Macaca mulatta: one gene and its partners. The protein of the gene in region 1 interacts with the protein of each later gene in a pairwise test. Links are inferred from orthologs where the notes say so. Each region holds a gene or a part of one and is shown in the gene's direction. Other genes may lie near its edges.

Evidence for each region.
Region 2: the proteins of GLRX3 (region 1) and PLSCR1 interact in binary tests that used the Homo sapiens proteins (3 or more experiments, as listed by UniProt). The two-hybrid records come from large-scale screens. The link is inferred for Macaca mulatta from reciprocal best matches to the Homo sapiens genes GLRX3 and PLSCR1.
Region 3: the proteins of GLRX3 (region 1) and MAP3K3 interact in a two-hybrid assay, tested with the Homo sapiens proteins (2 studies listed by BioGRID and IntAct). The link is inferred for Macaca mulatta from reciprocal best matches to the Homo sapiens genes GLRX3 and MAP3K3.
Region 4: the proteins of GLRX3 (region 1) and CIAPIN1 interact in binary tests that used the Homo sapiens proteins (3 or more experiments, as listed by UniProt). The link is inferred for Macaca mulatta from reciprocal best matches to the Homo sapiens genes GLRX3 and CIAPIN1.

Annotation. Positions count from the first base shown.
Region 1 is NC_133414.1:142,206,642-142,214,290, forward strand, and holds part of GLRX3 (glutaredoxin-3), read left to right. Parts: intron 1-2,726; coding exon 2,727-2,899; intron 2,900-3,136; coding exon 3,137-3,198; intron 3,199-5,352; coding exon 5,353-5,410; intron 5,411-7,491; coding exon 7,492-7,544; intron 7,545-7,649. UniProt on the Homo sapiens protein: Together with BOLA2, acts as a cytosolic iron-sulfur (Fe-S) cluster assembly factor that facilitates [2Fe-2S] cluster insertion into a subset of cytosolic proteins.
Region 2 is NC_133407.1:49,510,317-49,517,965, reverse strand, and holds part of PLSCR1 (phospholipid scramblase 1), read left to right. Parts: intron 1-4,233; coding exon 4,234-4,451; intron 4,452-7,649. UniProt on the Homo sapiens protein: Catalyzes calcium-induced ATP-independent rapid bidirectional and non-specific movement of phospholipids (lipid scrambling or lipid flip-flop) between the inner and outer leaflet of the plasma membrane resulting in collapse of the phospholipid asymmetry which leads to phosphatidylserine externalization on the cell surface.
Region 3 is NC_133421.1:73,424,472-73,432,120, forward strand, and holds part of MAP3K3 (mitogen-activated protein kinase kinase kinase 3), read left to right. Parts: intron 1-3,806; coding exon 3,807-3,928; intron 3,929-6,013; exon of another isoform or gene 6,014-6,032; intron 6,033-6,129; coding exon 6,130-6,222; intron 6,223-7,649. UniProt on the Homo sapiens protein: Component of a protein kinase signal transduction cascade. Mediates activation of the NF-kappa-B, AP1 and DDIT3 transcriptional regulators.
Region 4 is NC_133425.1:53,033,570-53,041,218, reverse strand, and holds part of CIAPIN1 (anamorsin), read left to right. Parts: exon of another isoform or gene 1-1,988; intron 1,989-2,055; exon of another isoform or gene 2,056-2,196; 5' UTR 2,197-3,385; coding exon 3,386-3,542; intron 3,543-3,915; coding exon 3,916-4,068; intron 4,069-6,520; coding exon 6,521-6,597; intron 6,598-7,649. UniProt on the Homo sapiens protein: Component of the cytosolic iron-sulfur (Fe-S) protein assembly (CIA) machinery required for the maturation of extramitochondrial Fe-S proteins.

The DNA of each region.
Region 1 (7,649 bases):
GAGCGTTGTTTTTGCTCTTCTGCTGGCATTTTAGAGAAGGGTGTAGGCAAAGCCCCCTTTATAAAAGCACTGGCCGTCTCATCTTGTGAGCACGCATGTGGCTGCTCTTTCCTTATTTTGCACTAAATTAGCTTTGAAAGCGCTACCTCTGCTAACACCGCTGAACTCCACTGTGGAGTATAACGACGTCTGTTTAGTTGGTCCCCACCTTGCTTTCTGCTAATCAGAAAAACATGAATGAAAAACATTTAAATTTTATATCTAGAAAACCTTGAAAGCCATTTTTAGGGTTTCTGCTGGAGCCCCATTGGACTCAGCCCAGCTCCTGCACAGGTCATGTCTCCATCTTCTTATCCTTCACGTGGGCTCTGCCTGCAGAATTGTATGGTGTGTTATGAGCCTGACATGTAGATAGGGTCTTAGTTGAAAAGAATTGGATTGTCCTTATTCGTGATCCTCATGAAGACAGGAAAATGCTTGTTTTAGGAAGAGTTTCCAGAAGCACTGAAGTATATGTCATCTTAAACAGAATCTTAAATCCTTGAGCAGGTTAATTATTTGGGAATTCTTATAGCTATTTCAGTTAACAAAGCTTTTAGCAAAGCAAAAGGTATTTAAGTCATAGTCAGATATTCCTCCTGCAGTGAGAGTCATCCAACCCGGCTCTTACTTTTAAATCAGTATCAGGCACAAAATCAGGTTTCAAAGATGTTTTTTAGGGTTTATTGTTAGGTAGTGATGAGATGCAGTGTTAGGCACCTATTCACATCATGAGTAGAAATGACTGGGGGTGGAAATGGGGATTCTGTGGCAGTTAAACATTACTTTTCTATATTTAAATATTTTTATTGCATGCATGCATTTTTCTTAAAAAAAAGTGTGTAAATATTTTGTTACTAGAATAAAGCCTTCTTGCCATCTTATCCTGAAGCATAACATTTCTAGTCTGCCACTTTAACCCTTAAAAATGAAACACTACCAATCAATCTTCCTAGTCTGCATGTAATTGCCTAAAGCTAAAATAAAGCTTTTTCTCAGCCAGTTACAGTAAAAATGAGTTAATATATTGGCAACAGAATAACCATCAGCAATCAGCCGTTAGCCGTTTACTAATGAACTCCCAGATGAATAAAAAAATTTCAGAATCAGTGTTTTACTTCAGGCTGTACATGAACTTCACACTTCAGATGTAGAAAAAGCAACTTACATGCTATACAAATAAATACTAGTGCTTCATCTCAATAAACTGCAGATTTGGAAAATGTTTGGAGCTCACTTGTAGATCCATGTTTTAATAGTAAATATGATTTTGGGTGACATCAGTAAAGCCCTTTCTTGCAATTAATCTTATATTGAATTTTATGGTTTGATTTTGTTTAAAAACAATTGCTGATACTACTAAGTCTTTTAGAAATTTTGAATCTGAAGAATAGGTTCTTTTCCAGTGAATTATAACTGTGTTTGAGAAGAAGAATGAGGCATGAAAGAGTAGGGCCCTACAAAGTACTGGGAACAATGGAGAAGAATTAGCTTATGGAAAGAAAAATACTTTTTTTTTCCAGACTAGGCTAATAGGTTTATAAAAGACTGATATTCACACTCTTATTCTTCAGTTCTAATGTCATAATAAGATGATGTCAAAAAAGTACAGAATAAAAATGTGTCACAAAAGTATAATAAAATCATGGAACATAAAATTGTCACTATAGTGTAGTAAAAAAAATTACATTACATACTTTAGGGAATGTAAATAGTTTTAAAAAAGAAACTGTCAAGTTATGACATGAGAATGAATACCGTCAATCTATTGATGGTTCATATATAACAACAGAGAAGATAGCTTTAAAATTCAATGTACTGTGTGTGTTTCAGACTACAGGAGAACACAAGCCTTCTTGATTTTTAATTTATCCTACTTAGAGATAGTGAAGATTGAGAACTACCGAAGTGGGAACTCAGGAAGTAGTAAAATGGCAGTAGAAACGAAACAGCATTGGGTTTTTAGTATAGTCAAGTAGTAGTTAAAAATAACAATTGTAGAATTTTTTCCTCTGCCCAGAATTGATTCTTGTAGGTTCACAACAGGAAGGCTGGGAGGGACTGTCCAGAGCGTCAGGTCTCCTGATTACTAGGAAAGTGCTGAGCGGAGGCCACCCATGGCCTCATCATGTGTCACCTTGGTGGGTGGAGGGAGCAGGTGTCAGATTCAGATTTCTGTTTTTTTTTTAAAGACAGGGTCTTGCTCTATCACTCAGACTGAAGGCTGGAGTGCAGTGACAATCTCATAGCTTGCTCCAACCTCAGACTTCTGGTCTCAAGTGATCCTCTTACCTCAGTCTCCCTAGTCTCTGGGATTATGGGTATGCACCATCACCCTCAGGTCTCTGCTTTTTGGCTAGTGCTATTTCTTCTGTGACAAAAAATGTCCATGATATTGAAGAGTAACTTTAATAAATACACACACCACTTTTTTTTTTTTAATACTCACAATTGTGTCAAAAAGTTAAGTCATATCTGAGTGTGTGATATGGTTCAAGGTCAAATAAGGGGATCCAGGAATTTATTTTCTGTTTGTATACTATCCAGCCATGCTAATTAAATCACCAGCAAAATAAGGCAGGCGTCTATGTCCATTAGATGATGTGTATGCTGAACTAATGTATTATCATGTGTACATGTTTCGAGAGAGAGAAGCTAAGTGCTTTATTTTCTTTTTTTGTGTACAGGTTTCAGCAAGCAGATGGTGGAAATTCTTCACAAACATAATATTCAATTTAGCAGCTTTGATATCTTCTCAGATGAAGAGGTTCGACAGGGACTCAAAGCCTATTCCAATTGGCCTACCTATCCTCAGCTCTACGTTTCTGGAGAGCTCATAGGAGGACTTGATATAATTAAGGTTAGAATTGAGAAGTCTGTGCTTTGTAAATAAATTCCATTTAGAGCATACTTTTTAAAGTGTGATAAATCTAAGATACAAATTTCTTATGAATCTATATTTACTAATAAGAACCTGCAATGAATACACAGTATTTCTGATTAGTTGATTGATCAATAAGCTGTGTTATGGTGTGATCAAGGAGATTTATGTTATAATAATTTTTTTTTATAAAACTGACATGTGTGCTTATTTTAGGAGCTAGAAGCATCTGAAGAACTAGATACAATTTGTCCCAAAGCTCCCAAATTAGAGGAAAGGTAAGTGTTTTGGAAAGTTTTAAATAGTCTGTCATTTAATATGTTAAAAATATTTTAAAGTCCTCAGGTTTTGCATTGCTCTTTCTGTGTAGAAATCAAGGATTTGGTATTTGTATGCCAGAGGTCATAATTTCATTGTTTAGTCAAACTAGCCATGCAAACTTTGGCAAATCTAATTTGGATTGGAGAAATTTTAGCACCAACTTAATGATCATGTGGAGGACCTTCTTTGCTTTTATAGAAATGTCATTGTTTCTGTGGAACAACCAAATTTTGCTTACCTCTCTGCATTTCAGAGCCAGGGTCCAGTTGTCTTGTCACTGCTCCTTGGCGTAACCTCAGCACACTCGTGTTTTCCTGGGTGCAGCCTTGGTGACTGCTGCGGGTGCTGCCCCAACGCCAGAGCACTGAGTGACAAGTGGTGAGTGTGAAAAGCTCATCACCTCGCAACAAGCTTTGGGCACTTCTCATGGCCTTTCTAGACCACGAGAACTTACATGAGCAGGTTTTGGGGCTGTGAAACATGTATTTGTTTTGTCAAGGATCTCACTTGGCTTTTGGAGAAGTTCTCTTACAGAAACGTTGGACTTTGGTGTATAAGGCAACTTAATAGGATTTTTATTGCAGTAAATGTGAATTAATATAGAACTTTAAAGAGGAACTTACTATATCAGCAATCAGCCATTCATAGGTTGGGGCTGGAGATTGTAAGATAAACCTTCCTTTGGTAATTTTTTTTTGCCATGTAACATCTTGAGAATTTCTAAAAGTGTGTAATAATAATAATTACCTCATTTGTCTGTTGTTAATTAATAATTTCTATAAATAATGTTCCATTCCACGTATGTAAGGCTGATCTTTGAGTACTGCATTCTGTCCTGTGGTTTGTACCATTTTCTGCGTTCTTCGTGAGAGAGTGATGCTCCGCATCCCTTTGTTGACTCTGGGCGTCTTCATGTGTGGTTCTTGCCTGTAGCCTGGTGATGCCCATGGCCCATGGAGGCTGTGTGTTCTCCAAGGACAGCTGTGCTTTTTATATGCTTGTATTCGCTGTTCAGTTGATTTTCCTTCTCTGCTGAGTACACTTGCTGCTGTTAATGGCCTTGTCTCCATTGGGCCTTTGTTTTCCTAAATGTGCTGTTTCTAAATCTGTGCTTGCGGACACTGAAAGGTAACTGGCTAGAATTATGTAGAAAGTAAAATTCAGCATATTTTGAGTAATAATTTAAAGGGCTCCTAGTGAGCAGAGTGCAGGAAGTGGAGTTCATGGACTTGTGACGTGTATTTTGGCAGTACATTGTGAGCTGTGGTTCCCTGTATCCAGGTGGCTGGGTTAGTTATTGGGTTGTCAGGGTCAGCATCGTATTCCTGTATCCATTCATATTTTTCTGAACTTGAGCTAATCCCACTCGGTTGGCAATGTAAGTGATACAGCTTTGTGCATGATTTATGCATTTCATTTGGGATTCGTTTATAAGGAGATTTTTGAGCCTTGAATTGGGAGAACATGGTGGCGTGACCCCATGGAGCTTAGGTTCTTTAGTGACCTGTCGTCCCAACACTGACTTTTCCTGAGATTTGTGACTAAACTTGTGGCTGTATACAGATAATTAAAATTTCTGATAACATATTAGATTATGATGTTGGCAATACTGTATAAAATATAATGTTAAGATGAAAGTATTTGATTTTAGCATCTGGCATTAGTTGATGTTCTGAGGTTTAATGCTGTCACCCTGCAGTCTGACCTTGTGAGCTTTACACGTGTACAGTGGTGTGCAGCATCATGATGGAAGATGGTGCTCACAAGATCTAGTTCTGGAAGTTTTGGATGGGCTTAATATATAGGCCCCTTATTGAACAATTCCTTACTGAATTGGTTGTTATTATTATTTTTTTATTACTGTGAGTTGATGGGCTTAAATTGCAACTTGAAGGAACATTCTTTGCCTTAAAAGCCATATTGTGTTTTACAGTGGCTTAGGGAGAGAATGAAATCAAGGAAAATGTCAACGCATTTGCTTGTTTAATACCACTCAAAGCTGTGAACTGTCATCCTGCCATCCCTCAAATATGCATGTTACTCACGAAGCGGAGGAAAAGTGGTGTTGCATAATTGAGCTGAGCCGTTTTATATCAATTTTCTCTCTTTAGGCTCAAAGTGCTGACAAATAAAGCTTCTGTGATGCTCTTTATGAAAGGAAACAAACAGGTAAAGAACTCAAAAATGGTTTTATTTGTAATTTCTTTTGATGTTAACATCTGCAACAAGGGGACAGTTAAATCTCTTTTTCCTAGCTTTAGCTAATGAAGCTGTAGCGGTATCAGGAAGTTATCCAGGCCTTAATTGGTGCTTACGGAGATCAAACAAAGTAATCTACATTTTGCTTGACTTTATCATCAACATCTCAGTGGGGTGCATTTCTTTCTGCTGCCAAACTTTGTCAGCTAACGTGGTCAACACTGTTAACACTTTACTGGTTGTATGAGTTGTTATTTCATTATCCTTTGTTGGAGTTTGTGGACTGCTGGAGTGTGCAGCTGAGTCACTGGACTTCCTGAATGCAGGGAACCTGGTCGTGCTTGGGTTTGCACCCCTAGATCGTCCTTTTGTGACAGTGGAGGAGCAAACCCTGGCTGTAGCAGGTGTGCTGTGTGTAGTGTTTGATGAATGAGTGAAATGGTCAGCAATTCTCATTTGTAATGGGATGGTTCTTGTAGCTTTTTGACGAAAGTGCATATTGATTGTGCGTCATTTTGAATATCAAGTTTGATAGATTACTTCCACTAATAGTTTGAGCAGAACTAATTTTCTTTCAGATTGAGATCAGAGTGGTAATTTCCAGAAACCAGCCATACACATTTATGCCATATTTTGTAGTTTTCATAGCAATTGAACCTCTATTTAATTCTCAATCAGTTGTTGAAGTAGGCAGGGTTGGACAGAGTTTGGCCTATTTTAGAGATAAAGAAACCAAAGCTTTGAAAGGTGAGGCTGTTGGAATAAAGAAACTGCCTCACTTGTTAGCCAGATGCACTGGGCAAGTGACACAGAGAACCACTTTGCCACTTTGCTCATTGGGAAAGGGACTCAATACTTCTTCACAGGGCAGACTCTGGTTGCCATAACTAGTGTGTAAGTTACATAACTAGTATAATGAAGCTAATTAGTTAACATAACTAATTGGTTAATATAATTAGGTAATGAAAGTAACAGTAACAAATAAAATGTTAATATAAATTTCAGCATTTTGGAATCACTAGGTTAGATCCTAAATTCTTTGGTTTTGCTTCAGTGTATTGAAACAATAGAGGAAGTTAATAATTCCTAGTAATGATAAAGTGACATTTTTTTCTTATTCTTGGTAATTGTTTAAGCGGATATTTATTCTCAAAACTGTTTTTTTCTGGAAACCTAGAAAGTTTTAATACATTTTGGAAACAGTGTTATTAGGGCTATTAAAATGTTTACATGGTACCGTATCTTTTCCACAAGATTGCTGGAATTTGGAGTCCTGTGGCATGAAAAAAGCTTAAGATTTTCATAAACTCAAAAAAGTGTTAGTATTCTGTAATGTAAAAATAAATGAGGCCGGGCGTGGTGGCTCATGCCTGTAATCCCAGCACTTTGGGAGGCCAAGGCAGGTGGATCCTGAGGTCAAGAGATCGAGACCATCCTGGCCATCATGGTGAAACCCCATCTTTACTAAAAATACTAAAAGTTAGCGGGTGTGGTGGCGTGCGCCTGTAGTCCCAGCTACTCTGGAGGCTGAGGCAGGAGAATTGCTTGAACCTGGGAAGTGGACGTCACAGTGAGCCAAGATTGCACTCCAGCCTGGGCGACAGAGTGAGACTCCGTCTCAAAAAAAAAAGAAAAAAAAAAAGGAGTCAGAGTCCAGTTGGAAATGGGAAAATAATTGTCATAATCATTGCAAAAAGACTAAGTGAGTTAAGATCATTTTGCATGAGTGAAGTGAAGAATGAACTGAAATCTTTGTAGAAAATCTAGGTTTCACTTAGAGGAACTTTTTGACCACAGAGATTATAAACTGTTGGAACACATGTCATCTCAAGTGGTTACAAACCAAAGTAAGTCTGTGGGTCACGTGTGCCTGGGTTGATGTGCAGATGGTTCGTACTTGAAGAAGGGATTAGCAGAAGCTCTGCTAGCTGAGTGAAAGCAGTGGCAACCACGATGGACAAGTGCTGTGCTGATTGACAGAGTTTTAGGTACAACCATGCTGCTTGGGTCATATAAAAAATGTAATCTTTACAAATTTTTTTTTCATCTAGGAAGCAAAATGTGGATTCAGCAAACAAATTCTGGAAATACTAAATAGTACTGGGTATGTAAATGTTGTTTTCAGATGTCCCAGAGAAGGAAGGAAATACCCTTTGCCACCACTCTCAGGAAGATAGAATTGGAATTAAGCTTTCGTAAAGCTTTCCCA
Region 2 (7,649 bases), on another chromosome or scaffold:
TCAGTCTCTCTTGAGAGAGAGAGAATTGTGCATTTGTTTTTATTTTAGTTGCTCTTTTTTTAAAACTATATTAATGAAATTTTGGCAGCCTAGTTGTTCTTGATTATTTTTATTTGGCTATACATTTTCCATAGAAGTAATTTTTATTTATAGAGGACAGTAAAGGTATAAAGAAAGCTAGTAAAAACAGCATTAGGTTTAAATTTAGCAAATGAAATACAAGACTGCACATCCCAATACACAAATGTTAAGTAAAATATTTTATTGATCCTCCATCTGTTCTGAAAATTATGATCATTTAATCACATTTAGGAAATTTATTTCTGATAAATTGAGTCATGTAGCTTGGCATGTGTTCAGTGAGAGTCACATCAAAATGATAAGACTGCTTAAAACTGGAAGTAATAGAAATTCAGTTACGTGGGAATAATTCTCATTTTAATTTTATAATATATATGAAAGCTTTATTTTTGTATATATACTGATTCAGCCCTGTATTTCTAAGAAAAATAATTGAGTCATTTGACTACGTATGCAATTGAGTACATTTTTTCTTTTCAACCAATGCCTGAAAGAATTCAGAGATTTTCATTTAGGCAAATGCAGTTATCCAAAATACTAGAACTTTAAAAATAGCAAAGGCCATAGCATGTCCAGATTTACAAGCAGGCAGGCTACCCAGATCTTGAAAGAGCATCCTGGGGATTTAGGATCAAAGGGAATGTGGGTTGGATAGAAGGATGTACCCATTGTATGCTCTTCCCTGAGTAAACAAATGTGCTTAGGAGCTGGTGTCATGTTTAATTGCCTAGCAAGAAACCTCCCTGCGTCCTGGATCTCATCCAGATGTTTGCAACTAAAAGAATATGAGCTAGATAAGCTCAAAGACTCTCAGGTGGTGGCTCATGGGAACCATGCCTGCACTGAAGTATCATCACCCAGAACCACTTCAAAATAGTAGTGCCAGGGCACTATTCCAGAAAAATTAAATCATAGCTTCTGGTGGTGGAACTTAAGGAATAGTAATCTTTTAACACCCGAAGTCATTCTAATGTGAAGCCAGGGTTGAGAACCTCTGCTCCAAATTCTTACAGGGTTGCTGTTTGGAAAATCATTAGTAAGTCTATAATAGTCATCCAAGGCACTTAAGAGAATTACGTAATCCACCCTATCACTAAATTAAAAGTGGATATACATAAATAATACAGTTCAGATATAATCAGACTTGAGAGTTTGCATATATATATATATATATATATATATATATATATATACATATATATCACTCCACAGCTTTATTTTGTTTCTCAAGTCCAGGATTACATATAGCACAAGTCTTAAGATAACAATGATGCTAACAGTAAGGATAATTTAAAATTGAGAGCTTACCATGCTTTAGTTATTGTTTTAAATGTGGAATTAATGTGGATTAATACATTTAATTCTCAGAAAACTCTTATGAGGTAAATATTGTTAGTTATCCCCATTGTGTATGTGGGAAAGCTGAGGCATAGGGAGTTTGGATCAGACTTCAGGTTCTGCCTGCTTTAAAAAAAAAAAAAAATTGTATAGGTAAATGTGCTGGTAAACTAGGTTCTGCCTTCTTTACTGATACTTATGTGGTAGTCTTAAACAAGTTGCAGTACCTCAAAGCCTCAGTGTTCCTATCTATAAATGAGGGTGATATTTTCAATGTAGGTTGCTTTGTAGAGTAAATGAGAGTATATGTAAAACACTGAGCACAATGCTTGCAAATAAGAAATGACAAGTATTTGCTAACATATTTAAAATATTTTAAATCAATTAGTCTTTACATAAATGATACTAGTATTCAAATTTCAGGTAATTCTTTATGCTTAATTCATTCATTTGATGAGTAATCAATCATATTTTCAGAGTCTGGGGGAAATTATGATGATGTTAAAAATGTGAGAAATTAAATCACATCTCCACATACCCACTGGTCTGCCTATGGTCTGGGTTCTGTGCTGACGCCAGTGATCTTTAAAAATGTAAATCTGCTCATATTACAGAGAGTGTATAACCCCTATTTTATTAGTGTCCTATTACTTTTAGGATAAAGGCTAACACTAAACCCAGGATGGCCTTTTCCATGCTCTCTCTTTAACCTCCTCTTGAGCCTGGCTTGCTGCTATTCAGCTAGACAGGCTATTTTTCAGATTTTTAAAGGCCTATGTTAGTTATTGTCCCAGGACTTTGCTCTGAAATGTTCTTTCTATGACTCTGGCCTCCTGAACTCCTGTGCATCCTTCAGATCTCAGCGTAAAGGTGACCCCTCAGGGCAGCTGTTCCTACTCCTTCCCTTTTTCTCTTCCCATCTCAATAGCGACCTTTGGCATCTCTAGTCATAAAACCGTGGTCTCTTACTTGAAAGCATTTATCTCTTATTCTAATTAATCAATTAATTACTCTGGTATTATAGCTCCCTAGAATAAGTGGGGATTTAAAGTTGTCTCTCTCATTAAACAATGATGGACAGGGATTGCATCTGTGTCTTCCATTGTAAATTCTAATACTTTTCTACTCCTGAAAATTTTGTAAGATATAAATAAGACCATGGAACTCATTCTTCTGCTCAGAATCCTCCAGTACTTGCCAATCATAATTGGAACCAAATCCAGACTCCTTACTAAGGCCTCCTTTGATGAACAGCTTCCTATTGCTTTGCTAACAGCATGTCAGATTCATTACAAAGTCAGAGGTATTCTATTTGCCTTTCTTTCCTCCTGAAGCATTTCTCACTAGATCTTCATATAAAGCTTTTCTCATCTTTTAGACTTTGATGGAAATTATATTTACCTAAAGTAACTGCCTCATGCCCTGCCCTCCCTGACATACATTCTTCTCCATCACATTCATATGAATTTTTTTTGTTCTAAATGTGTTTTCTTTCTCTCAGAAGTTGACTGTAAGCTCTCTGACAGCAGGATGCCTCCTTGAGATTTGTGTCCTCATATTCTACAACACAGCCAGTCACATTATGGATCATTTGTAAATATTCATTCATCATAAAGGAATAAATTATAAAAACTTTATTTATGATGCATTATTGTGAGGTTTAATCTGTTTATCTAAGCCTTATTTTTTAAAGGCAAATGAATTTTGTCATAAATGTTCCATTTAAAAGAATGTATACATTTCCTATTCTAAGTATTGCATTTTGCATAGGCTTTAATGTTAAAATATTGAGAAACACAGTCCTTTGAAATTATATTCCACTGCTATGGAATTTTGTGGACCATCCAAACAGGCATATAAATCTTCATTGTAATCACATATTCATAGAGAATATGAAGTACACTTACTCTTATTAAATTTCTGCCTCTACTCTGCCTCTTACAATTTTTTCCCATCCTTATTTCTCAAATTATATTTTCCAGAGACCAAAGGATGTTAAATTGTGAAATTTAAATTTCTAACCTAAATATTACAATGAAATTTTCTTTTAATGAAGAAGGACTTAGGAAAGCAATACATTATGGATTAAAACATAATGCAAAGGATTAACTCAAGCAGGTATCTGGAATGTACTGAAAGAAATGACATGCTTTCACCTTCAACAGTGGCACTATAATATTTTGGGCTGGACAATTCTTCATTGTTAGGGAGCTGTTCTGGGTCTTTGAAGATGTGTAGCAGTAGCCCTGGCCGCCACCCACCAGATGCAGTATTATCTTCCCCTCCAGTTGTGACCAAAAAGAGTCTGCAAATCTTGTCAAATATCCCTGGCAGAGAGGGGGCAAAACTACCCCCAGTTCTATACATACATTATAAGTCATTTGCTAGAATTTCAGAATTATCATTTTTCACAAGGTACTTTGGCCCTAGAAATGCTGACTCAAAGCCATTATTTTGGGCCTTCTACCAATGCCATGTCTGTTTCCCTTGAGGCTTGCCAGAATCTTTATGTAGGTGACTGTAGATCATGGTTATTTACTTTCATTTTCTCAGATATTAAAGCATATTTTCCATCTGAGTTTTGAATGGTAAGGGTAAGGCTATTCACTGCCTGCTATCCTCAAAACAGAAGTGGATATGCAACCACAGATATTTCATTGAAAAATCTCAGAAAGATAAAAGCATATCTTAAACATCACAGATACAGATTTCTATGCTGAAATGTCAACTTATAGATATATGGCGTAACCCTAAAATGGTTGATGATTCCATCTTTGGTGCAGTTATAAATCATTTCACTTGTTTGTATTTCAGGACCTCCAGGATATAATGGCTACCCTGGGCCCCAGGTTGGCTACCCACCCCCACCAGCTGGCCATTCAGGTCCTGGCCCAGCTGGCTTTCCTGTCCCAAATCAGCCAATGTATAATCAGCCAGTATATAATCAGCCAGGTGGAGCTGCAGGGATACCATGGATGCCAGCACCACCGCCTCCATTAAACTGTCCACCTGGATTAGAATATTTAAGTCAGGTAATTTCAAAGACACAAAATACTCATAAAAAACAGAACTGTGCTTCCAGCTTGCTTAACCAGATTAACAAATGAATAATTCACCAAAGTCTGAAATGGCAAAACTATATATTCTGCTAAGAGATTACTCTCATTCTTTTAGGTCAGGTTCAGTTTTAAAGCAAAACACAAATGCCTTAGAAAATTGTACTTTCTGTGATCTTAAATACAATCTATGATAATGGCCAATAACAAACATTTAATTAACACTGTTTTCCTGTCTTTGTTGTATGCCTGATACATGTATTAACTCATTTAATCCTTATAGAAAGTCTATGATGTATAGGTGCTACAGTTATCTCCATTTTTCAAAAGAAGAAACTGAGGTCCAGAGAAGTTATATAGCTCCCTCTGGGGTGAGAACCTAAAGAGTTGAGACTGTTTTTTTAATCCCCAAACTTTGGTACTGAGCAAAGTGCTCTTTAATCTCAATACTGAATAATTGCTTTATAATTTGAAATAAAATTTAAATTAAGTTTATTTTTGAGTTTCAATAAGTGGCACCAAACAAGGGGTTAATATTTTATGTGTAATACAACTCACCTTTTTATTGTAACTAATACAACTGCATTTTTATGATGCTGCTTTTGTTCTTTGGAAGACCCAATTTTATAAATGCCATTAATAAAGGAGTAAAAAGTCCTGGATTTTGTTGCACTGAATTATAATTAATCTCAGCAATAAGAGGTTTAACATTTATTTGGTGTTAAAAATCAGGTAGATCAAATAGAAACAAGAAACTCCGTGTGTCCAGCCAGTTTTCATTTCATAAATCACTTCTTTCTTGCACTATCTTTAGTAACTTAATTTCCCACAATGCACTTAAGTGGCACAATCATAGGAATTTTGGGTCATTATTGTATTATGCAAGAAATACACAGAAATAGATATTTTAAAAATCAGGGTCTCATAAAATACATAAAGGATGTTATCACATATGACAAAGGCTGATATTAAGTATGCTTAATACAAATTTGAAACTTGTAAAAAAATCTCTTTGATGGCTAAAGAAGTTATCAATATTTCTTGAGCCTCCTCAAGAAGGAAGACTGTTTTCTACTTTTCAAATTGTTTTTGACACATAATAATTGTGCATATTTATAGAGTACAGTGTGGCATTTTAATGCCCATGTACTATGTGTAATGAAAAATAAGGATAGTTAGCATACTTATCACTTTCAATATTTATCATTTCTTAGTGTCGAAAACATTCCAGATCCTCTCGAAAATATACAATAAATTGTTAATTATAGTCAACCTACATAGCTGTGGAACACTAGAATTTATTCCTCCTATCTAAATGTAATTTTGTATTCATTAACCAACTTGTCTTTATAACTCTCCTCTCTACCCTTCACAGTTTCTAGTAACCAGTATTCTACTATCTACTTTTTTTTGTTGTTTGGATGGAGTCTTGCCCTGTTGCCCAGGCTGGAGTGCAGTGGTGCCATCTCAGCTCACTGCAAGCTCCGCCTCCCAGGTTCAAGCGATTCTCCTGCCTCAGCCTCCCAAGTACCTGGGCTACAAGCGCGCCCCACCACACCCAGCTCGTTTTTGTATTTTTAGTAGAGACGGAGTCTCACCATATTGGTCAGGCTGGTCTCGAACTGCTGACCTTGTGATCCGCCTGCCTTGGCCTCCCAAAATGCTGGGATTACAGGCGTGAACCACCGTGCCCAGCCTCTACTCTCTACTTCTAAGAAATCAATTTTTTTAAGCTTCCACTTATGTGTGAGAACATTCAGTATTTTTCTTTCCGTGCCTGGCTTATTTCACTTAACATAATATGTCCCTGGCCGGTCGCGGTGGCTCAAGCCTGTAATCCCAGCACTTTGGGAGGCCAGGATGGGCGGATCACGAGGTCAGTAGATCGAGACCATCCTGGCTAACCGGGTGAAACCCCATCTCTACTAAAAAGTACAAAAAAACTAGCCAGGCGTGGTGGCGGGCGCCTGCAGTCCCAGCTACTCGGGAGGCTGAGGCAGGAGAATGGCGTGAACCCGGGAACCCGGGAGGCGGAGCTTGCAGTAAGCTGAGATCCGGCCGCTGTACTCCAGCCCAGGCGACAGAGCGAGACTCCGTCTCAAAAAAATAAATAAATAAATAATAGTAATAATAATAATAATATGTCCCTTAGGCTCATCCATGTTGCTGCCAGTGATAGGATTTCATTCATTTTTATGGCTGAGTTTTATTCCATTGTGTGTATCAAGAATGAATTTTTCTTTATTCATTTATCTATTGAACACTTAGGTTGATTCTATATGTTGACTGTTAATGCTGCAATAAGCATGAGATTGCAGATACCTCTTTGACATATTGATTTTCTGTCCTTTAAAATTTTTGTTCTGAAAATTTCGAAAAATTTGAAAAAATACCTTTTTAAAAAAAACAGTAGTGGGATTGCTGAATCATATGGTGGCTGTAATTTTAGTTTTTGAGGAACCTCTTCACTGTTCTCCATAATGGCTGCTCTGATTTACTTTCCCACCAACAGATTTCCCCTTCTCCACATTTTTACCATTATTTGTTATTTTTTTGTCTTTTTGATAATAGTCATTTTAACTGGACAAAGATAATATCTCATTGTGGTTTGGATTTCATTTCTCTGGTGATTAGTGATGTTGAGCATTTTTTCATAAACTTACTGGCCATTTATATCTATGTATGTATGTATGTATGTATGTATGTATTTATTTATTTATTGAGACGAAGTCTCGCTCTTGTTGCCCAGGCTGGAGTGCAATAGCACAATCTCGGCTCGCTGCAACCTCTGCCTCCTGGGTTCAAGTGATTCTCCTGCTTGAGCCTCCCATGTAGCTGGGACTACAGACGCCTGCCACCACACCCAGCTCATTTTTTGTATTTTTAATAGAGACAGGGTTTCACCATGTCAGCCAGGATGGTCTCGATCTCCTGACCTCGTGATCTGCCCACTTTGGCCTCCCAAAATGCTGGGATTACAGGCATGAGCCACCTCAATTTACTAATTGTTAAAGATACTCCAGTGTAAATCAATTATATTTGACCTGAATTTTTCCACATTAATAATGAACACAATAAATCTTTTATTAATTAAAAATATTAACTTCAGTTTTATACTAAAAAGTAATATAAGCTATTAAATATTGATAACTGATTACATGTACTTTAAAAAAT
Region 3 (7,649 bases), on another chromosome or scaffold:
CTCACACCAACCTCCGCCTCCCGTGTTCAGGCAATTCTCGTGCCTCAGCCTCCCAAGTAGCTGGGATTACAGGCGCACGCCACCACACCCAGCTAATTTTTTTTTTGTATTTTTAGTAGAGACAGGGTTTCACCATTATGGCCAGGCTGGTTTCAAACTCCTGACCTCAAGTGATCCGCCTATCTCGGCCTCCCAAAGTGCTAGAATTACAGGCTTAAGCCACTGCGCCCAGCCTGTTATTTGTTTTTAAAAGTTGTGTGTTTTTAAGGAATGCCACATTGAAGGAGTGCTGATAATTCCGTTAGTCTCAGTCCATACCACAGAGATAACTGGCTTGTGGCAGCCAAGTGTGCATAGTGATGTTGCTTTTTAGAAGGAAAAAAAACAAAAACAAAAACAAAACCTCAATCCAGGAAGAAATGCCTAAAAGAGCCACTTGATTTACTTCCTGTCTTTATCCATGTCCTCTGAAGTACCAGTTGAAGAACCTGTCTACTTCTAGGAATGCATTTGACTTTGATACAAAATTAGATTCTTTTTTTTTTTTTTTTTTTTTTTTTTTTTGAGACGGAGTCTTGCTCTGTCGCCCAGGCTGGGGTGCAGTGGCCGGATCTCAGCTCACTGCAAGCTCCACCTCCCGGGTTTACGCCATTCTCCTGCCTCAGCCTCCTGAGTAGCTGGGACTACAGGCGCCCGCCACCTCGCCCGGCTAGTTTTTTGTATTTTTTTAGTAGAGATGGGGTTTCACCGTGTTAGCCAGGATGGTCTCGATCTCCTGACCTCGTGATCCACCCGTCTCGGCCTCCCAAAGTGCTGGGATTACAGGCTTGAGCCACCGCTCCCGGCCCAAAATTAGATTCTATAACCCTGATTCACTTGTGTCAGTTGTCCCAGATTTCAGATGACCGTGCCAAACTGTGCCTCTACTGTGTTCTCAGCTCTGGAACTACCAAACAAGTTTATTCATTAAGTAATGCCAGGAATTGGTTAGCTTCCTGGAAGCAGAATTTGTCAACCTGATAAACCAGCTCTTATAATAACATCATCTTATACAGAATTAGAAATTATTTCTCCAGTCCTACTTGTGGATCTGACTTGAAAAGTGGTGTGTGTATGTGTGTGCCTGTATGTGTATTCACATCCGTCTTCGTTCAGTATCTGAGTTGAAAGAACTGAAAATTCTCAATTCTTAGGGTGGTTAATGTTGTTACTGATAACTGTGCATTCCGCTTTTAGGAGTATTGTTGGATGCTCCTCAGAAAACGCTTAAACCTAGTCATAATCCTGCTTACATTGATCCCAATTTATTATTACAGTTGGTCCAATTTTTTACATATTTAATAATATATAAGCCATTTAATATATAAACCTATACATATTATTATATAAACCAATCTTCCTAGCTTAGATGTTATGCTCTAGTTTTTAAGGTTTGGTTGTGAGGATAAAAATCAAAACAAAAAACCAAGTTCCCTTTTTTGAGATACGGTCTCACTGTTGCCCAGGCTGGAGTACAGTGGCATGATCATGGCTCACTGCAGCCTCAACCTCCTGGGCTCAAGTGATCCTTCCACCTACGCCTCTCAAGTAGCTGAGCCTACAGCGTGCACCACCATGCCCAGCTAATTTTTTGTATTTTTGTAGAACGGAGTTTTGCCATGTTGCCCCAGTCTGGTCTCCAACTCGTGGGCTCAAGCAATCTGCCTGCCTCGGCCTCCCAAAGTGCTGAGATTACAGGCATGAGCCACCCTGTCCAGCCAAGTTCCCTTCTTTAAGGAAGCTATAGAGAAATTGTAGAAGGTATAAAATAATTGATGGGATTTATATGTGTTAATTTTGACAGATGTCTTTTTGTAGATACCCACTTTCTCCTCATTCATTATCCGCTTTACTGCATGCTTTCGATATTACAACTATGTCACTCTCATACATACTTTTGTATATGTTTTGAAGTGGAATCATATGGGAAGTTAGGCTCCTGGTATTTTCCTGCAAGTTTTAAATCTAATTTTACTGTCCTGAACAAGCAAAAGCCTCTTTATAGGCAACTTTGTCCTTTTCTGCACCTCGTCAGAGGGCATATAGGGCACTAGAGCAGATTTGGTCTAGGAAGAGGGGAGAGGCAAATAAGGGGAAGGGCCAGGCACGGTGGCTTATGACTGTAATCCCAGCATTTTGGGAGGCTAAGGAGGGAGGATCGCGTGAGCTCAGGTGTTTGAAATCAGCCTGGGCAACATGGTGAAACCCTCTCTCAATAAAAAATACAAAAATTAGCAGGGCGTGGTGGTGTGCACCTGTAGTCCCAGCTACTCTGGAGGCTGAGGTGGAGGATTGTTTGAGCCTGGGGGGTGGAGGAGGCTGTAGTGAGCTGTGATTGTACCACTATACTCTAGCCTGGGCAACAGAGCAAAACCCTGTCTCAGTCAGTCAGTCACTCAATCAGTAGTGGAAGAAGAGACTGGAGCAGTTTTACTTCCTACATTTCACGCTGTTCATTTCTTTCCACAGGGTATTAGAATATTTCCAAGGGGCAGTGATAAAGGGCAGAAGATGAGCACTCTCTTTGGGTGGAATATTTTGTATTTGCTTCTTTTAAGGTGTGCCCCAAGTCCCCAAATGAGTCAGTTTTCACCAAAGCAAGTGTAACGACTCATCCCTCATGTTCCCTTCCCGATCAACAGATTTATTCATTTTCAATCTCCAAATGCTATTTGAATGGGCAAATATATCTTAAAGGACCTGGGAAAAATTTGTACAACATAGACTTGGGCTGGTTTGTGTTCTGGGTTTTGGCCATTTGTTTTTAATGTATGAGAACTCTAGTACTCCATGCTATTTCAAGAAAAGGGGATTAAAAGTAATGGCAGTAAGGTGGAGACAATGCATTGCTTGGTCAGCTTAGGGAGGAAAAACAATAGAACTACCCTTTGACTTCCCTATGGGAAGTAGAAGGCCTATAAACTTGTAAAGAGTTGGTGGGGGTTGATGGTGGTGGTGGCATTCAGATGCTAGGCTTGTAAAACAACTTCTGTTCAAAACAGTTACCTGAGGCCCTTATTTGGTACCTTTTAAAATGTACTCTCCTCCTTATGATGCTTTAAGAATAAGTCTGGGACTGACACTGTGCCATAATCTGCTCTCTGGATTTATCTTTTCATTCAATACCATATTACATTGTACTGTGTTGTTCTTCACTTCAACTTTTCATCTATTTTTCCTGGTTAAGTTTCTCTGGCACTGGACAAACTGCTCTGTTTGAGCATGTCCCTTCCCTGCAATTAATTGGTAAATATTGCTGTAGGAAATCTGATTGGAGGGCTATTAAGAAACCATTAAAGGTCAGGCATGGTGGCTCACACCTGTAATCTTAGCACTTTGGGAGGCCGAGACAAGAGGATCACGGAAGTCCAGGAGTTGGAGACCAGCCTGGGCAACATGGGGAGACCCCGTCTCTACAAAAAATTAAAAAATTATCCAGGCATGGTGGCCCATGCCTGTGTTCCCAGCTACTCGGGAGGCTGATGTGGGAAGGTCGCTTAAGCCCTAGAGTTCGAGGCTGCAGTGAGCTGTGATCACGCCACTGCACTCCAGCCTGAGGGACAGAGCAAGACCTTGTCTCAAAGAAAAAAAATTCCGTTAAAATTCAAATTGCCATAGTCTGACCTTTTGGGCTGCATCTGATTATAGTTACAGGGTCTGTCATTTTGCCTGGGCAGAACTCCCTGAGTATTAGTCATATAGTTTGTGAAAGAACTTTGCTGGTCTGTATTTAAGTATCTTAGTCCATGTGCTCTCTTTCATTGCAGACGAACAGGAGGCATTGAACTCAATCATGAACGATCTGGTGGCCCTCCAGATGAACCGACGTCACCGGATGCCTGGATATGAGACCATGAAGAACAAAGACACAGGTCACTCAAATAGGCAGGTGTGTGTGACCCTGGCAGAGCTAAATGAGATTTGTTGGGGAGGGGTTTTCAAATGGGAAATATATGAAAAGCCAAGGAGACTACATTACCAGGGTTGAATACTTTTGACCCCTTCCTTTCACAGTCTGTTAAATGGGAAGTAATACATACCAACCAGGTATGGTTAAATGGTAAGTGATATTGGGAGGCCGAGGCAGGCAGATCACCTGAGGTCAAGAGTTTGAGACCAGCCTGGCCAACATGGTGAAACCCCATCTCTACTAAAAATACAAAATTAGCCAGGTGTGGTGGTGCATGCCTGTAGGCCCGCTAATCAGGAGGCTGAGACAGGAGAATTGCTTGAACCTGGGAGGCAAAGGCTGCAGTGAGCCGAGATGGCACCACTGCACTCCAGCCTGGGCAAGAGAGCAAAACTCTGTCTCAAAAAAAAAAAAAAAAGCCATGCAGTTATGGATCTGTGATTTGGAATCTTAAAGCCTTCTGTAAGCATTTCATCTGTTATGGGGACAGTATTCATATACGTTTTTCCCCTTTAGTGATATTTGGGAAATATTTAATTCAGATTCATGATCCCTAAGTCAGAAGGTTTTTAGCTACCTTACAGTATATAATCAGGAAAAACTAATTAATTTGGTATTAGCTTATGTAAAATATAATTAAGAAGGTAAATTTATTAATTAAAATGTCACATAGTATATTCTAAAGGCAATAATGAGTGATTTTGTTATTACTGTTTGCTTTACCTTATTAACCCAGGTAGTTGATAGTGCCTGTTTTATTGAGAGTTGTATGCTTCCTTAGGAAAACATTGCCTATTTTTCTTAACATTTAAAATTGTGTGTCATTGAGAATCTTCTTCTCACCCGTAGTGCCACTTACCTGTTTCCTGGGTACTTTGGCCTGCAGAGAGGAGTGAATGATGGGGAGCTTTCCTTCCTAGTCGGTATCTAATGCTACATCAGCTATATTGGGCATATTTGATGAAAATTTGTCTATGGCATTCTCCCTTGTGGTTCTGTTTATCAGCTAACCTCTTTTCTTCTCATTTGCATCTTGTTTACCAATTCTTCAGAATTGGTTCCTAGAGATAGTATAAGGCCCTAGAACTTTTCCTGTCTGTGGTCTGCTAGATAGAGCCTTCCAGAGTATTTCCTGCCTTTAGGAATCCTAGGGACCCCAAGGGAAGAGGAGTCCTTTTGTTTCATGTTAAAACAGAAGGATTAGTTTAAAAAGCTGCTTTTGTTGTTGTTACCTTACAGTACTGGAGGTATATAAACAGATAAGGGCCCATTCTTACACTGTTTTCAGATGTTATTCTGTCTGACTGTTTGAGTTCTCCCTTGCTATAACTCATTTGTATTCAAAGCCACTTTTGGAAGGAGCATTTTACCAGAAGTGAGTCCCCTCCCCCATGCTTGAGCCTAATGACCTCACTTTCCTTCCTGTCTTCCTATGTAGAGTGTGCTTGGTAACACTGCTCCAGTTAGCTGATCTTTCTCCACACTGGACTATTGGCATGAGTATCAGTTAGTGGGTAAAAAGGGGAAGCTTTCTTGAATTGGAAGGCCCAAAAGGTCCAGGCTGGGAAAAGGAGGGGTGGAATGGTTACTGATAGTTCCTTGAAGGAGGATTCCTTTTTAGGACTCCTTCTGCTTAGAGCCTAAAAGCTGTGATGAGGGAAGTCTTGATCTTTTGCTGTGCCTGCTGCTGCACTGTTAGAGTGAAGTCAGTGGTTATGAAGGCAGAAGACTGTAAAAAGGATTGACTATTTGTTAGGAAGTAATCTTTTTTTTTTTTTTTGAGACGGAGTCTGGCTCTGTCGCCCAGGCTGGAGTGCAGTGGCCGGATCTTAGCTCACTGCAAGCTCCACCCCCTGGGTTCACGCCATTCTCCTGCCTCAGCCTCCCGAGTAGCTGGGACTACAGGCGCCCGCCACCTCTCCTGGCTAGTTTTTTGTATTTTTTAGTAGAGACGGGGTTTCACCATGTTAGCCAGGATGGTCTCGATCTCCTGACCTAGTGATCCGCCCATCTCGGCCTCCCAAAGTGCTGGGATTACAGGCGTGAGCCACCGTGCCCGGCCAGGAAGTAATCTTAACAAGAGGTACTAGATCTTTGGATCCATGATTTACTTTAATGTTGTCAAACTTATGTTGCACGAAGGAAACAAATTATTAACCTCAGTGTTTTTGTTTTTAAAGAAAAAACACAACAGCAGCAGCTCAGCCCTTCTGAACAGCCCCACAGTAACAACAAGCTCATGTGCAGGGGCCAGTGAGAAAAAGAAATTTTTGGTAAGGATCCAGATTACCTGTTAAAGCCAAAATGTACTTTTAAGTCTGCTATTCATGCTGCAACAGCGGAATTCACTTCCCGAACAAGTTGTTTGTAAAAAGTATTGGTTACCCGTGACCTGTGTTCAGTGCTTCTAGTCACCATTTCTCACAACAGTGTTATTGATAAGCAGCCTCTATCAGTGCTGTCCAATAAATTTTCTGTGATGACAGACATGTTTTATATCTGTGCTGTCCAATGTGGTATTGTAGCCACTAGCCACGTGTGTCTGTTGAGCAACTAAGGAACTAAATTTTAAATTTTATGTAATTTTAATTAATTTAGACAGCCACTTGTGGCTGGTGGCTATTGTATTGGACAGCACAACTTTAGGTACTATGTAAGGGACTGTTGATTTATTGGGCAAGAAATTATGTATATGCTTGGAGATGTGTAGAGATTCATTAGTATGTTCATTCCTTACACACGTCATGAGTTTCTATACATTGCGATAAGCTAATAATGGGAATCCTATCTTAAGATTCTGTTTTAGGAAGAATGTGAAGATGTGGAACTAGTATGGCTGTTTAGAAATTGAAGCTCAAAGTTTTATGTTAATATGGGCAAAAGGGGAAATAAAATGCTAAGATAGCTTTTCCTCTTAATGAAGTCAAGGTTATAGAATGGCCTGTCCTGGGAAGCGTAGCAGATGTTTCACTTCTGACCAAGAGGGATATTCTTCAGCAAAATTCTGAAAGCAGAAAAAGCCAAAGTCTCAGCAAATGCATCTCTAGGAAAGACGGGGTAAGAGGCAGTGCGGGGAAGATGTGGGGGAGAGGTATTTATAGCCTAATATAATGAAAAGAGCCTGGTGATATTAATTATTATTTAACATAGGACTTTATAATTCACAGAGTTACACATTTATTATTATTATCATAGTTTTTGTTAGCCTTGGCCTGAGACAGAATGAAATAGTTTTCTTCATTACCAGTTCTTCTACCAGAAAGTCCATGCTTAGGAAGAGAGAGGAATGAAAGATCAAAACCTAATTTAAATGGTAAAGAGTTGCCAAATTTGGTTAAGAAATGTCTAATTGGATTACAGATTCAAATTGCAGAATCCTAGTTGAAAGAAACTAAGCATTTTGGCTAGCTGAAAAGGTTGTTTATTCAAGGGTGGAATGGTGCTGGCAGAGGCTAACAGCCTTTCACTATGAGAATGGCAGTGCTGGCTACAAGACAGAGTTGAGACTGGCACAGCTTCATGGGGCTCAAGCTTGGCCCAGCAAGGAAAGCCAGAGGAGTTGTGGGTTCATTAACAGGATTATTTGGGGGCCGAGGCCTGGAAGAACTGAAAAATCTAATTTAATATCTCTGCTTGGCAAGACTTGAGACATCCCCTTCCCTAAGTAAACAAGCTTGGTAAGTAATTGAAAAAGAGAATG
Region 4 (7,649 bases), on another chromosome or scaffold:
CTGTGTGCCAGAGCCTGCCGAGTGCCTTACATATTATTATCTTCTCATTTGCTTCTTACAGCAGCCTCGCAAAATATGAGGTTATTATCCCTACTTTACTGATGAAAAAACAAATTCAAAGAGTCTAGTAACTTATCTATGGTCATATGCCCATAAGATCCAGTGGTAGATAGGACCCTAGGTCATCTGCACTCAAAACCTGTGCCCTATAAAACTGCCTCCATAAATGTTGCTGAAAAGGTCTAGACATTTGGCTTTTTGTTTTTCTCTAGTTGATAAGTAAGCTTTTGCCCCTCGTTTCCTTCATGAGGGTTTTTCTGTAAATACAGTGCAAAGTTGCAGTAGTCTAGTAGGTGGGGTCTTTATCATCCTTTTCTGTTATCCCAAGGAAGAACCTATTCCAACATCATTCTAGAAACAGATCATTTTTATTCTGATAACTTAATGTCCAGCAATCTATACTCCCATCTTGCCTGGCTGGTTCTTAAATGTGAGATTGATCCCATATGGCACACCTTAAAGTTTGCAGGGGTTCTTCCTCGACATCATGTGCCAATTAAAAGTTTCAGTTCTTGATTGTGTGCTGTTTAGGGATTTAAAAACCAGAATTGGCCGGGCACGGAGGCTCATGCCTTTAATCCCAGCACGGAGGCCAAGGCGGGCAGATCACTTGAGGTCAGGAGTTTGAGAATAGCCTGGCCAACAACCCTGTCACTACTAAAAATACAAAAATTAGCCAGGTGTGGTGGTGTCCACCTGTAATTCCAGCTACTTGGGAGGCTGAGGCATGAAAATTGCTTGAACTCTGAAGGTGGAGGTTGCACTGAGTCGAGATTGTGTCACTGCATTCCAGCCTGGATGATGAAGTGAGACTCTGTCTCAAAAAACAGGACTAACAATCAAAAAAACCACAGAATTAGCTGAGCACATGGCTCATGCCTGTAATCCCATCACTATGGGAGGCCGAGGCAGGCGGATCACCTCAGGCTGGGAGTTCAAGACCAGCCTGACCAACCCCCTCTACTAAAAAAATACAAAATTAGCCGGGTGTGGTGATGCACGTCTGTAATCCTAGCTACTCAGGAGGCTGAGGCGTGAGAATCGCTTGAACCGGGGAGGCGGAGGTTGCTGTGAGCCACGATTGCACTCCAGCCTGGACAGCAAGAGTGAAACTCCATCCTCCCCACCCCCCCACCAAAAAAAAACCAGAATTATTCTCTTTTGTATAATTTTTTTTCTTTTCTTTTTCCATTTTTACTTGCCCTCTGCCATTAAAAAAACAGAGTTAAATGACTAAAGAATCCTACTTGTCTGATAACACTTAGCATCCTTTTAGGGGCGCTAGCAGTTGGATCATACAGAAGGAGCTAGATAAAAGGCACAATTAAGGGAAAATGCAAAGGGTTTTCATAGAATAAGGTGGGATCACTTTGGAGTGGTGGGAGATACAGGTAGAGCCAGATTATGGAGGCCGTGGATCCAGAAGGCTAATTGACTTCACTCTAGCAAATAAAACGTTTAGTAACTCCTTTAGAAAAAGAGTGACAGATCAAAGTGCTGTAGTATTTAATGCTTGAGTGTTAAATATTTGACATCCTGCGTATGTTTTGTAGGCAAAGAGGAGAGTTACTTGAAGTAAACTTTGGTTTTTTTGAGACAGGGTCTTGCTCTGTCACCCAGGCTGGAATCTTGGCTTACTGCAGCCTCAAGCTCCTGGGCTCAAGCAGTCCTGCCGCCTCAGGCCCTCTCCTCCACTCCAATAGCTGGGACTACATAAGATTACCACATAAGACTACCACAGATTCTGCCACCACACCCAGCTAATTTTTGTATTTTTAGTAGAGATGGGGTTTCACCATGTCGCCCAGGTTGGTCTTGAACTCCTGGACTCAAGGGAGCCACCTGCCTCGGTTTCCCAAAGTGCTGGGATAATAGGCATGAGCTATAATTGTTTATTTTTTTATTTTTATTTTTATTTTTTGAGACAGTCTCACTTTGTCAACAGGCTGGAGTGCAGCAGCACGATCTTGACTCACTACAACCTCCACCTCCCAGGTTCAAGCGATTCTCCTGCCTCAGCCTCCTGAGTAGCTGGGATTACAGGCGTGCACCACCACGCCCAGCTCATTTTTGTATTTTTAGTAGAGATGGGGTTTCACTATGTTGGCCAGGCTGGTCTCAAACTCTTGGGCTCAGGCAATTTGCCTGGCTTGGCTTCCCAAAGTGCTGAAATTACAGGTGTGAGCCACTGCACCCAGCTGAAGTCAACATTTTAAAAGAAACGAGAGTGTAGTGACTTGGCTTAAATTCAGTCTGTATCTGTGGTGGCATGATTGCCACTGAGTTGGCCACCTCTGCAGAAGTCTGAAATGTTCAACATAAAACTAATCCAAGTTTGACCCCTCTACCAGAAATTGTTTGTTTCATTTATTTGAGCTATGTTAAATTGGAAACTGGTGTCATTAATGTTTAAGAATGAAAGGAACTGAATAGAGTACTATCTCTTGAACTACTTTCTTTGTGAGCGTATTATATACTCACCTGAGTATCAAGTAGAAGAGAAAGTTGATCTATGGAGGGAAATTTCCAAAGGTTAAAAGCATGGGCTTTACGGTCAGATGAATTTGGATTCAAATCCTAGTTCTCACTTTATCCATGTAACACCCACTAGTTGTGTGACTTGGACAAAGTAAATTGCCTGAGTTTCCAGACTGTAAAATGGTAATAATATCTAGTTTAAGGCTGTTCTGAGATTTAGTCGAGATAATGTTTAGAAGATGCTTTGAACAGTCTGGCTAATATTAAATGGTATAGACGTGGTAAGTATTCTTGATCACTGCAGAGTCAGTGAAATTAAATTTTCATATTTTGATGAAAGGGAAAATACCAGTATTCAATTTGCAAATTTTAAATGTGTTGTTTCATTTTAAAAACATTGAACCTGTGGTTGGATTATTTCTGTCAATTTATTTGCCTTCCTTGCTGAGTCACACTTTGCCTAATTGATGTCCTATGTGTTTTGCATTCCGTTCATGCTGAATTATCTTAAAGAGGAAATCATCTTTCTGCCTCCAACCTTCTTATTTGCCTCTAATCCCCTTTGTTGACTCTTCCAAGTCAGGATTCTCACCAAGGAAGCTATCGGCCTTCTTTGGGAATGTTGGGATTATGAAGACTTGAGATAATGGGGTTCATGTATTCAGACTCTTTAGCATATACAGTAGGGTTTCTAATGTCAGCATTCCCTAGTGGGCGGTTACAAGTTAGGTTGGGATTCTAATCATATTTTATGATACCTCATGGATTAAATTGCACTTTGTCTTTGCCCAGTCTTGATTCTCTTTTGGCCAGCAGTTTTTAGGTCCATCAGTACTGCACTGCAAGAATGGCAGATTTTGGGATCTCTGCTGGCCAGTTTGTGGCAGTGGTCTGGGATAAGTCATCCCCAGTGGAGGCTCTGAAAGGTCTGGTGGATAAGCTTCAAGTGTTAACTGGCAATGAAGGCCATGTGTCTGTGGAAAACATCAACCAGCTGTTGCAGTGTAAGTACCCACCCATGTTGTCTGTATGAGGCTGGAGGGGTTTCTGTGGGAGTGTTGCATTTCTGTGGTTCCTTAATATCTGAGTTTTCATTTAGGGTGGCATGTGATAGTGGTGGCTCGTCACCCGGTTGTTTTTCAGTTGAGATACACTGAGCTTAGGATTGTAGTTGATGATTTCCATAAGTATGATGTTCTTTCTGTGTAGCTATTCCATGTTTTTTTAAAATGCTTACTATTAATCCAGCTTCTTGGATGGATACCGAGTGGTGTCCATTCTCTCAGGGTGAGGTCTGTAGCCTTTGTTGGGGGTTGAAAGGGACCAGGAGATTGTCCCAGGCCAGATGATTGCTAATTAGAGTCCTTTTCTTTTCAGCTGCCCACAAAGAATCCAGCTTTGACATTATTTTGTCGGGTTTAGTCCCGGGAAGCACCACTCTGCACAGTGCTGAGATTTTGGCTGAAATCGCCCGGATCCTTCGGCCTGGTGGATGTCTTTTTCTGAAAGAGCCGGTAGAGACAGCTGTAGGTAAGGAGATCTTCACTTGAAAAACACATTTGACAGGGTTGAGTCTTTGAGCATGTGTGCTGCATCTCCCTGAGCAGGAAATATCATTGGGAGATCAGTATTCCTATAGCAAAACCTTTTCCTTGGGGATAAGTTATTGTTAAAATCTGAAGCAACATATCTGGAGAAATTGTAGTCTTTGGCTGACTCATTATGTAACAAAATAGAAGGAAACTGCCATCTAAAAGTGGGTCCTTTTGCAGGTGAATAAACTTTGATATGTTCATAATATGGAAAGTGATGCAGCAATAAAAAGGAACACGCTAACTATATGTACATCAGCTTGGATGGATATCAAGGGAAGTAGCTGAGTGAAAAAAGCCAATCTCAAAAGGCTCTGTGCTGTACAATTCCATTCATATTCTTGAAATAACAAAATTATAGTAGTGGAGATCAGATTAGAGTTTGCCAGAGGTTAGAAGTGGGAGGAAAGGGGTGTGTGGAGCTATAAAGGGGAAGTATAATGCTTCTCCTTTATAGATGGAACAATTCTGTGTTCTGAATGTGGTGGTGGTTACACATATCTACACATGTAATAAAATTACTTGGAACTATAAAGCCCCCTCTGCCAAACGAGTACATATGAAAGTAATGAAATCTGAAAAAGCTATGTGGACCATCAGTATCAATTTCCTGGTCTTCATATCAGGCTATAATTGGGTAAGATGTTACTGTGGGGAGAGACGAAGTGAAGACCTCCTTAATATATAGAACTTTTTTGTTTTTTCCAACTTCCTGTGAATCTATAGTTATTTCAAAATAAAAGGTTTAAAAATAATGACTGGAACTCTAGGGGTGATGTGGTAATTATTGATTCATGTGAAACTAATGACAGTGTTCATGAAGTAAAAAATTTTTTGATCAGTGGTATAGCTGTCAGAGTGATTCAGTTCTGGATTTTAATATTTTTCACTAGACTTTCAGTCAAAATGTAACAATTTCATCAAATAGAATAATAGAAATGAAAGTATTTTGAAATGTATAAAGGTGTTCGTTGTTTATGGGGAAATAGAACTTTGTGTTATGTGTAGTATACATCAGCATTCTTTGCTGGGAGTTTAAACCTTACGTGACTAAATGCAGTGTCTCAGTCAGAACTATATAGAGAGCAAAAAAGAACTATACAGAAAGAATACTTGTATTTCTGTGCACTTTGCAGTTCATAAGCCTCTTTTCATAGTCATTATCTCACAACCTCTGGAAGGGGTTTCAAGAAGCAGAGTGATAAAAAAAATAATAATAATGGAATTATAACATTTAAGAGCTTAGGTAAAAACACTTTGAACAAAAAAAAAGTGTTTGTCAAGTTAAAATAGTATCACTATGGCCAGGCACAGTGGCTCATACCCGTAATCGAAGCAGTTTGAGAGGCCAGGGCAGGTGCATTGCTTGAGTCCAGGAGTTCGAGACTAGCCTGGGCAACATGGCGAAACCCCGTCTCTACAAAAAATACAAAAATTAGCCAGGCATGGTGGTGCCCACCTATAGTCCCAGCTACTTGGTAGGCGCTGAGGCAGGAGGATTGCTTGAACCTGGGAGGTCGAGGCTGCAATGAGCCAAGATCATGCCACTGCACTTCATGACAAAGTGAGACCCTGTCTCAAAAATAATAATAAGAAGAAGAATAAAATAATATCACTAAAATGTATATACAGTTGTCCTCATCTTACAATGGAGTTACGTCCTGATAAATGCTATTAAGACGAAAATGCATGTAATTCATCTAACCTACTAAACGTAATTGCTTAGCTTAGCCTAGCCTACCTTAAACACGCTTAGGACACTTGCATTAGCCTACAGTTGGGCAGAATCATCTAACACAAAGCCTGTTTATAATAGTGCTGAGTATCTCATGTAGTTTAGTGAAAACTGAAGTATACGGTTTCTACTTGAATGGGTATCACTTTTACACCATCATAAAAGTTGAAAAATTATAAGTAGAACCATCATTAAGTCAAGGACCATCTGTACATTAAACAGAATAGGTTATTTTGTTTTGTTTTGTTTTTTGTTTTTTCTTTGAGATCAAGTCTCACTCTGTTGTGCCGGCCAGAGTGCAGTGGTGCAGTCTCGGCTCACTGCAACCCCCACCTCCTGGGTTCAAGTGATTCTCATGCCTCAGCTTCCCAAGTAAGTGGGATTACAGGCATGTGCCACTACGCCTGGCTATTTTTTTTGTGTGTATTTTTAGTAGAGACGGGATTTTGCTGTGTTGGCCAGATTGGTCTTGAACTCCTGGCCTCAAGTGATCTGTCCACCTCAGTCTCCCAAAGTGCTGGGATTACAGACATGAGCCACCATGCCCGCCTGGTTATTATTGTTTGAATGCTTGCTAACCCACATAGGATTGAGCCTTTATTATTTTTCCTACTTTGACCTATAAAGCTATTAATTGAGATTTTCCTTTTGGCAGATAACAATAGCAAAGTGAAGACAGCATCTAAGCTGTGTTCAGCCCTGACTCTTTCTGGTCTTGTGGAAGTGAAAGAGGTATGTTTGTAGACAGCTTTCTTTGATGCCCTGCAGGTGAGGTAATCAGTATTGCTTAGAACTAGGAAACAAGAAATGCTTTGCATGTAAGATACATGATGCTTCAAAGGACAAAACTTGTGAGAATAGGCCGGGTGCTGTGGCTCATGTCTGTAATCTCAGCACTTTAGGAGGCCGAGGCAGGTGGATCACGAGGTCAGGAGATTGAGACCATCCTGGCTAACATGGTGAAACCCCATCTCTACTAAAAATACAAAAAAATTAGCTGGGCCTGGTGGCAGGCGCCTATAGTCCCAGCTACTTGGGAGGCTGAAGCAGGAGAATGGTGTGAACCTAAGAGGTGGAGCTTGCAGTAAGCCGAGATCATGCCGCTGCACTCCAGCCTGGGCGACAGAGTGAGACTCTGTCTCAAAAAAAAAAAAAAAAACTTGTGAGAATAATCAACTTCGAAGAGACTCAACTTGGCCCATGTGGGCTGGGGCTTGTTCTTGTCTCCTTGGTACTAGTTTAGTGGTAGTGACAGCTGAGGGGCATGAGCAGCAGCTCTGTTGCTTCCAACACCCACCTCTCAGTAGACCCGAATCCTAGGCCTGGGTGAACACTGTCACCTAGTTCAGCCTCACATTTTTGGTGGGAGGCTGGAATAGGTTAGGGGCAAAGTTCTTTTTCTGACAATTCAGTGGAAATATTTAAATTAAGCAGAAGTGTTTATATTTCTACACTCTTTGATGTTAAAATTTTCTTGGATGTGGGAGAGGTAAATGTTACAGCATGATAGCTGATGTGCCTGTTATTTCTTACATAACGTAGGGCCTTAAATTCTTTATTTTTTATTTTTTTTAATTTTTTTTTTCTTCTTTTTGGAGACAGTCTTGCTCTGTTGCCCAGACTGGAGTGCAGTGGCACGATCTCTGCTCACTGCAACATCCGCCTCCTGGGTTCAAGCAATTCTCCTGCCTCAGCCTCCCAAGTAGCTGGGATTACAGGCATGCACCGCCATACCCAGCTAATTTTTTGTATTTTTAGTATAGATGGGGGTTCGCTATGTTGGC